Nothobranchius furzeri: one gene and its partner. The protein of the gene in region 1 purifies or fractionates together with the protein of each later gene. This does not show direct contact. Links are inferred from orthologs where the notes say so. Each region holds a gene or a part of one and is shown on either strand. Other genes may lie near its edges.

Region 1 (4,413 bases):
GGGCCTCGGGCCATGGAGGCCACCACCTCGATCATCTGCAGCATTAAAAGCAAAGCGAATAATCACAAATAATCGACCATCTTCACATAAGACAAACACACACTCGGATTTGAAATTATTTTTTGAGTATCTTGTATGAATGGATCTCCATCCGTCCGTCAGCACAGGCAAACGGCAATTAGCTGAAGTCTATTTTTTCCTAAAAAAGTTATTTTATTACATACCTCGGCCTCAAACGAGACTGCGAATTAGTTCAACGTGTGTCTAAATTTACTACTCTGAAATAAAAGTACACAGTCTGACATTACATTCTATGTATTTGGACATACTAGCTAAACTAGACGGCTGCGAGCTACCGTAAACATAACAAAATGTACATGGTCTGCTTCCGCTACTGGACAACAAATCACAACTCAGAGGAAAACAGAGTGGTCCTAAAATTTAGTCATATAAATAAATATTCATTTGGGATTATCAATAGCTAAAATACTAACAAAAGATCTAACAATTCTTGTTTTATTTTCAAATTCTATTCAATTAAAAGTCACAAATAATTGCAGGAATAGTTTTTCGTTGGCCTTTGTTTTGACTACTAGCATTGAAAGTCAGACGTTGCTACCATTAACTCGTGGGGAGGAAAATACTAAACATTTCACAATAAATAATAAATGTGCGCTATTCTCATCACGAATTCATAAAACGTTTTAATTAAATGCAAGTTTTTTTTCAAATTCGCCAAATTATACTAATTTTGTCAAATGGAGGAGGAAAAAAACAGAATTAGCCAAATCCCCCCTTTTATGGTTCAAAATGGTAGCGCCTCTTTCGGTTGTGGGCTATACACTCCGAAGTAAATTTTGCCAGGCCGTACCTTCTGACAACAAAATGATTTTTTACAACAATCAATGAAGTAAGTATAACCAGTATGCTGAACATTGGGTTCACCTTTCCTGTAGAGATGGTTTATTCTCAAACAAGGCTCGTTTATTAAAGTGTGTGTCTGAAAGTCAAGGAAAAGGGTAAAATTTAGCGCTACAGTAACCCATTAAGAATTTACGTGTAGAGCGAAGCGCTAACAGAGGCTACACTGGTCGTGTTTGAGCGGTATATTGCGCTGTCGCACAGGTTAATTCTAAACTACCATCTACAATTTATTGATGCTGGCTGCTAGTAAACAACTCCGATTGTTCGTAAGCTTTAAAGAAATGCTTTGCTGTTATTAAATGTAGTGTGAGCGAGGTAATAAAAATATTGATTTTCAGTTTTTTGCCGGTTACTGAGAGAAAAGGCTTGCAACAACATTTTGTCCCTCCTTTAACTTTTGTCATATCTTTTTCACAATTTAGTTGCGCTCTCTGATGTCATTGCAGATGTTCCTGCTAAGTGATTGAGGCATCTTCTGTACTTCCTGTTGCTCGAAACCCTTTAGCCATCCAATCTAGTCTCTACTTGGTGCTGTCAGCTCCACAGTCACACCCGGACCCATTCGAGGGATGCAGAGCGGTCTAGTTTGAGGACCTTAAAATGGCACCAGGGCCTCCACCTTGACCAGGATTACTCACTGAGAACCGGTTTATGATCCCTCACACTGCTCACTCAGCACACCTGTAACTACCTCCTCTCTGTTTTCTCCCCATGGTCAAAGCACAGTTGTGTTTACCAAAGGTGGTGGCAGCCTTCTGTCAAGTATTTTTGGCTCCCTTCCACCAACTTAAAGATCTCTAATTCCATTTTTCCCACTATAAACCTAGTTTAAATATGACTTCAGATTGGGGAGAGAAATCCTCAGCAGAGCTTATGAGCAGGTATGTCTCCAAGGAAATGGGATACAGGGTGCCCAGGGAAGGTTGGCGAATCTGTTTGGCGCATGAGTTCACGGAAAGGAGGAAGCCCTTTCAAGCAAAAGATGTGTCGCTTTCTAATGTCTGGGACCACATTGGCCTTGGAATCAGGTGAGACATATCTCATTTTAGCATCTAGCAATGATGTCATATTTTAATCTCTTTCTTGAAGTGAGATCACAATGCATGCACATTTCAGACTTAAGTTTGTTTTTGAAAACTTTTGCGATTTGCAACATCACTAGCTGAAGTGGCTGAAACTATGACGTTTGAGATTAACTTATGCTTTAACGTGGTTCACTCAGTAAAAATACTCCATAGCATCAGATTTATTTATGTTTAATTAAGGGCAGCCACATATTGTGTAAACAATACAATGCTACTCTTATAAACAACAGTCTGTGCTTATGCTGACACAAAGCAATGAGAAAAAGACAAGGCATTATCTATCCAGCCATCCATTCATTTTCCTCCGCTTATCCGGTTTCGGGTTGTGGGGACAGTAGCCTAATCAGGGAGGTCCAGTCTTCCCTCTTCCCAGCCACTTGGTTCAACTCCTCCGGGTGAATCCCAAGGCATTTCCAGGCTAGCTGAGAGACATTGTCCCTTCAGAGTGTCCTGGGTCTTCCTTTAGGCCTCCTCCTGGTTGGACGTGCCTGGAAAGCCTCACCAGGGTGATGCCCAAGCCACCTTAACTGGCACCTCGATGTGGAGGAGCAGCTGATTTTCTCCAAGCCTCTCCTGGATGACTGAGCTTACCTATCTCTAAGGGAGAGCTCAGACACCCTGCGGAGAAAACTAATTTTGGCCACTTGTATCCGTGATCACATTCTTTTGGTCACTACTCAAAGCTCGTGACCATAGGTGAGGGAGGAAATGTAGCTCAACCAGTAAATCCATAAATTTGCCTTCTGGCTCAGCTCTCTTCACCACGACAGATCGGTACAACGCCCGCATCACTACAGACACAGCATCATCCCGCCTATTGATCTTGCGCTCCATCTTTCCGTCACTTGTGAGCAGGACCCTGAGATATTTAAACTCCTCCACTTGAGGCAGGACCTCGTCCCTGACCCGGAGAAGGCGTTCTACCATTTTCCAACTCAAGACCATGGTCTTGGATTTAGAGGAGCTGATTCTCAATTCAGCTGCTTCACACTCAGCTGTGAACCACTCCAGCGGGGAGCTGGAGATCACTGTCTGACGAGGCGTTATTAGCTACCTAATGCTTACAAACGCTAGTTATGCTAATGCTAATGCAAGAGCTGGCATTAGCAGAAACATGTAATCACTGACTAACAGTAAAGTCACCTTGGCAGATACAAGCTACAGACAGTCATCAAGTTAAGAAATCATACATGACTTTGGGTGTTTCTCAATGTCAAGGCGCCTGGCCTTGCGAGATGTCTTGCGAGGCCAGGTGCCTTGCTTACGAGGACACTGTCCTTCCTTGGTCAAAAAAAAAACAATTAAATGGAACAGACTTGCATCACGTGACCGGTCACGTAACGTCACGTGACACGGGAGATAACATGTTTTATACGTATAAGTTTCAATATAAATATATAACAAGCCTTTTACTTTTTAAATTGTAAGTATTGGTTAAATTAAATATGTAAGCGAGTTACTACCCGCTAGCCACCGAAGCTGCAACTACTAAGCAACTAACCAACCGTAGATAACATTTTAGATATCAACCCGTCAATCTGTGTTTTAAAAAGAACTGAAAGATGGAATCAACCCGATAGCTACAATTAGTTGACTTACGTTTAAACTTTAAATTAGCCCCTGAAGTAGCTGCCGGCTTCTGATCCGCCATCCTTTTGAAAATACTGCGGTGTATTGTGGGAACTTTCTGACTAAGGCTAGGCTACAAGTCACCTCCTGTGCATTCTTGCTCAGCTAGCTAAACGGCTAACAAACGGAGAACCGATGCCTCGGTAGAACATGAACATTGGAACACGTCTTGGCGGTTCTTGATGACGTATTTCCTAGGCAACCGGAGCGTGACCAAGACATCAAGGCAAGGTTCCATGGCATTGAGGCCCTTTGTCTCACAAAAAGTGATCAGGCTTAGTGTGTGTCACATCTAAACTGGTCCGGGCAGAAACAGTCCAAAAGCATGCTCTAATCTCGGTCTTAAGCACTACAAATTATTCTACAATCAACATATTTGAATTCCTAATTTTACTCATCTATATGTCACAGTCACCTTTAGGCTGTTTGATAGAGGGCGTTCAATATGTTTTTTCTATAGGTCAATGTCAAGTTTATTTATATAGCATATTTAAAGACATGTAGACAACGCCAAAGTGCTGAACAAGGCTAGGAAAAACACAACACAATCAAGAACAAATTGCGGTTGAAATTTGTAAAAACAAATGCATTTAATACTAAAAGCATATACGCTAAAAACACAAGTCAAATTAAAGCTGTAAGCAGCGTCGTTCGGTCCTCGCAGCTCCGCGCCGCTCTGTCCTGGCCGGCAGCCAGGTCTGCTCGTCCGCACCTCACCCTGACTCAGCATCTCCTCTGAGCCCACACTTCCTGTTGTCAGGGGGCGGGGCTTAGT
Region 2 (3,823 bases), on another chromosome or scaffold:
AGATAGTTTTATATTTAATTAAGAACAGATGTGCTTAGTTATTTATCCAATCAGGAACATGTATGGATCAGTTTGACAATTCACCTTAGAATAAAACCTGTAGAGAATGACAAAATAACTACATCTTTTAATTTACAAAGCTTCATTTCATTTCTTAGTTGACACAACATTGTATGTATGTGTGTACTGTATGTTCCATGAACTGACAACATGTAGGCTATTCGACAAAATTCTGTGTTAAAAATAGAATGAAGATGGTTGCAACAGAACAGAAACGGGCCTTCCCACATCTCATTTATGTACTCCCTACCGGAGTCACAGGTTTGACAGATAAAGCGTGGGCGTCACAAAAGCAGGAGCAAATGCTGACTCGGAGCAAACTGCCCTATTGACGGGATAAATACCCCTTGCCCACAAACCTCTTTGAATGGTTGTCATGTTTACAGCAAGATGGAATGCTGTAGTTACAAGTTCTGGTGTGTTGTGCATGTCATTGTTTTTCCTGGATTACTCAACTTCCATGTAGAGGCAGCAGTGTTGACTTGTCTCTTCAAGAGACCACAGACGGTCAGATCCGGGGGCTGCAGGTGGTCCGAGCAATAACAGCCCCGTTCTGTTTGGTGTAGTTCAGCCCATCGGATGCTGTGGTTGTCAGGGAGCAACAGGCATGGCCTCTGTTGTACTTTGTGTGAGTGCTGCAAAGTGCTCTAGAAAGTACAGAATATTCTCCTCCATCCGTCCACTGGGCTTTGCACCTTCTACACATCCTGTGGGAACAAAGCTAAGAAAATGGAAAGGGCTGAGACATCGCAGGCCAGGGTCACCAGGGTTCCACCCTCTGCTTGCTTGTAGTCTCTTAGCTTCTACCTTATTTAGTTTGTGGACCATAGTAATGCCTGTTTTATCCACTATCCAAGTGGACTGGGGCCCAAACTGATGTCCTTTCTTCATGTGCTCCAGATCAGTGAAGAACAATCCAAAGTGTGCTTTTGAAGGCACTGGCACATGTAAACATAGATTTCTAGATGTTCAACACCATATATATGTATTAATTAAATAAATAATAATTTTCTAGCCTTTCAACAATGTAAAAGCGACTACAACACCTACATTTGCTTTTGTGCTGCATAACTGCCCAAACAAATACCACATGGCCACCCCCCTCCCCTCCCTCTCATAAACACATACCCAAACAGCAACAAGATGGAAACAAACATTGGTTGTTAATATCGGCGTTTATCTTTTTGGACTGATAACGATATGCTCAAAAATGACCAACATCGGCCAATACCGATTTGATGCCGATCTATCACGCATCCCTAAATATTAATGTATCCCACGGTGGGCAAAATACATCTCCCAAATCTCTGATGGACTAATTTTATTATCATGTCAGTGTTTGATCATTTATATGAAACTCCTTTGCAGTACTTCTGATAAACTTGTTTTACAGTCTCACAGCGTGGACTGTCCTGAGCATTATATCATATGGTGTGTGGCCATAGCTGGTCTTCCTGACCTATATTAGATACATTTACTTGTTAACAATAGGATTTTGAAAACCTTAACCACCAGTGAATGTCAAGTCTCAAACTCTCAACCTGAAAACATAGCTGGTCTGTTAGCCTGGCAAGCCATCCTACATATGTGAACATATTTTCTGGCCACGGCCCACTGACGGGTCTCCGTTATGGTGCGGGATTTATGGGTGCCTTTAAAACCGTCTCTGTATGCTATTGGACAACAAACAACGTGACCTACTCACCGTTACGGATGTCAGTCATGCATCGTTGAAAAAGATGCCGATTCTTTTTCTAAATAAAAGACTTTAAAAGTCTCTTTCAGGAGTATTTCTCTCGTCTGATGGCACCATCTAGTGGCTGACAAGCATATCACACAAATCATTTCTCCTTTTGTTTTTTTAAGATGGCGACTTCAAGTTTCTTGTTTATAAATGTGCTTCTGTAGCCGACAAACAGAGCTAAAACACGTTGTTTTATGAGTATTATTCTCATGTCTTGTTGTGTTCTCATATATTTATATTTTAGAGACTTTCTTGTTCATGAAAAGTTCATCAACTCTGCATCAGCTGAGGTAATCCTTAGAAACATCTAAGCTGTAGTCTAACGCTATTGGTTAGTTCTGGTTGGCGCTCAGTTTCCTATTGCACGGAGCTCTGCAGGGCAGGGGCGTGCTTAGCAAAAAAAAAAGAGACATTGCTTACATTATATCACAGTACATGATAAGATAATCACTCTTATGGATTTCTGAAAAGTCATACATAATTTCTGAAAGAGAAAAACTCCGGAAAGATCCTTTAAGTACCTCTATCTTCTCTTGACTTAAATAAAAGCCCAAGTCTAAATAGTTCAAAGTTGATGCTAAAGCCGTTTCAAACGACTCGTTGCCGTCTTGGTTTCACTCGGTCGCAGTAAAGCCCCGCCCACCAAACTGATAGAGCTCTGTGATTGGCCAGTTACAAGACTTTCCGGGGCTGCAGAGGTTCCAATGAAGCGTGGCTAGCCTGACATGCAGAGCAAAATCGTTTAGCTTCTGCTACTAACGTTCTAGATTTCTCGGCAACTATTTGTGACAACTATTTTTTAAACCAACCAACACCAGCATTTATAACAGCGCCCTCAGGGGAGTGACATTCAGCAGCTGTGAAAACCAACCGTCTTCTCTCCTAAATGTTTAAAACAATACTTAATAACATTTAGAGTAATTAGATAAAAGTAATTATGTTTTAGGGGTTTTCTGGTTTTTATTTTTGGTTTCAGATACGGTGAGCATTTCAACTGTAGTGAGTAGACTAGTCAGAAATGCCTAAATTCATTTAGTTGTGTTGGGATTGATTGTGTTTTGCAGGCACCGTGTGTGACTTCCGCCTGAGCTACGGCAGAGTTCTCAGCAGACGCAGCAAGATCATCGCAGTCAACAGAGACAAGTCACAGCTGCTGAAAAACTCTGATATGTTCTGGAGACCCACTGTAGCAATTCAGGGTACGCTTGCAACCTTCTGTCACCACGATCAAATCATATGACATGTATGGTCACATTAGCAACACAGATGTTGAATGTGTTCAAATTCAGGGGCAGCATCCTTGTAGGGGCTCAGCCTGCCGAGTCCATGTAGGTCAGTTCCTTACTCGACCACCAACACTGGCTGAATTTGGATGGTCTAGCCTTCAGATTTAATCCTGCTCTTACCTCAGTATGTGTCCTGTTGCCTAGCAACTTTGATGGCACTAAAAAGAAGTTGAAACTAAACTTAACAGCAATGCATGAAGAAATACAGGACCCACCATTTGAACTCATTTGCAAAGATTTTTCGTATTTCTTTTTTGACAAAAAATATATTTAGAAAAACAACAATGCAAACAACAAAAGCCTAACAGCACAGCTGCTTTAGGCTTTTAATTTTTGCACCACCATACGTTAACATACTTGCATTTAAAACTGTAATCATCTCCTGCTATGTCTACCATTATTACAAGAACAAAAGTGGGGCCCGTAATGAGTCTTGGGACAGGAGGAATACATCAGACCCATCCTAGAAAATAAGAGTGTATTTCAGGACACATTCTGTTTATTTGGTGAATCTGGAAAGTCTTGTTGCTTTAATGAAACATAATTGGCCCTAAAATGTGGACCTGGAAGACCCTGAATTTGGACACAACTATAACTTTGAAAAATAGCGTCCTGTTTCAGTGATCATGAAAAAAGTATCGCCAAATAATAACCTGTTTGACCCTAACCTGAAGTCAAGCCTCAAATGTGCTTTTTAAAACAACTTGTTAGGTGATGCCGGATCCTTTTTAGT

What was found.
Region 2: the proteins of gba2 (region 1) and ilvbl purify together in Homo sapiens (co-immunoprecipitation; 3 studies listed by BioGRID and IntAct, counting the BioPlex papers as one, with this or other methods). This does not show direct contact. The link is inferred for Nothobranchius furzeri from reciprocal best matches to the Homo sapiens genes GBA2 and HACL2.

The regions. Positions count from the first base shown.
Region 1 is NC_091742.1:60,124,591-60,129,003, reverse strand, and holds the start of gba2 (non-lysosomal glucosylceramidase), read left to right. Parts: upstream 1-1,537; 5' UTR 1,538-1,758; coding exon 1,759-1,952; intron 1,953-4,413. Other genes in the region: rgp1 (RAB6A-GEF complex partner protein 2), read right to left, coding at 1-35. UniProt on the Homo sapiens protein: Non-lysosomal glucosylceramidase that catalyzes the hydrolysis of glucosylceramides/GlcCers (such as beta-D-glucosyl-(1<->1')-N-acylsphing-4-enine) to free glucose and ceramides (such as N-acylsphing-4-enine).
Region 2 is NC_091753.1:25,156,489-25,160,311, forward strand, and holds part of ilvbl (2-hydroxyacyl-CoA lyase 2), read left to right. Parts: intron 1-2,868; coding exon 2,869-3,003; intron 3,004-3,801; coding exon 3,802-3,823. UniProt on the Homo sapiens protein: Endoplasmic reticulum 2-OH acyl-CoA lyase involved in the cleavage (C1 removal) reaction in the fatty acid alpha-oxydation in a thiamine pyrophosphate (TPP)-dependent manner. Involved in the phytosphingosine degradation pathway.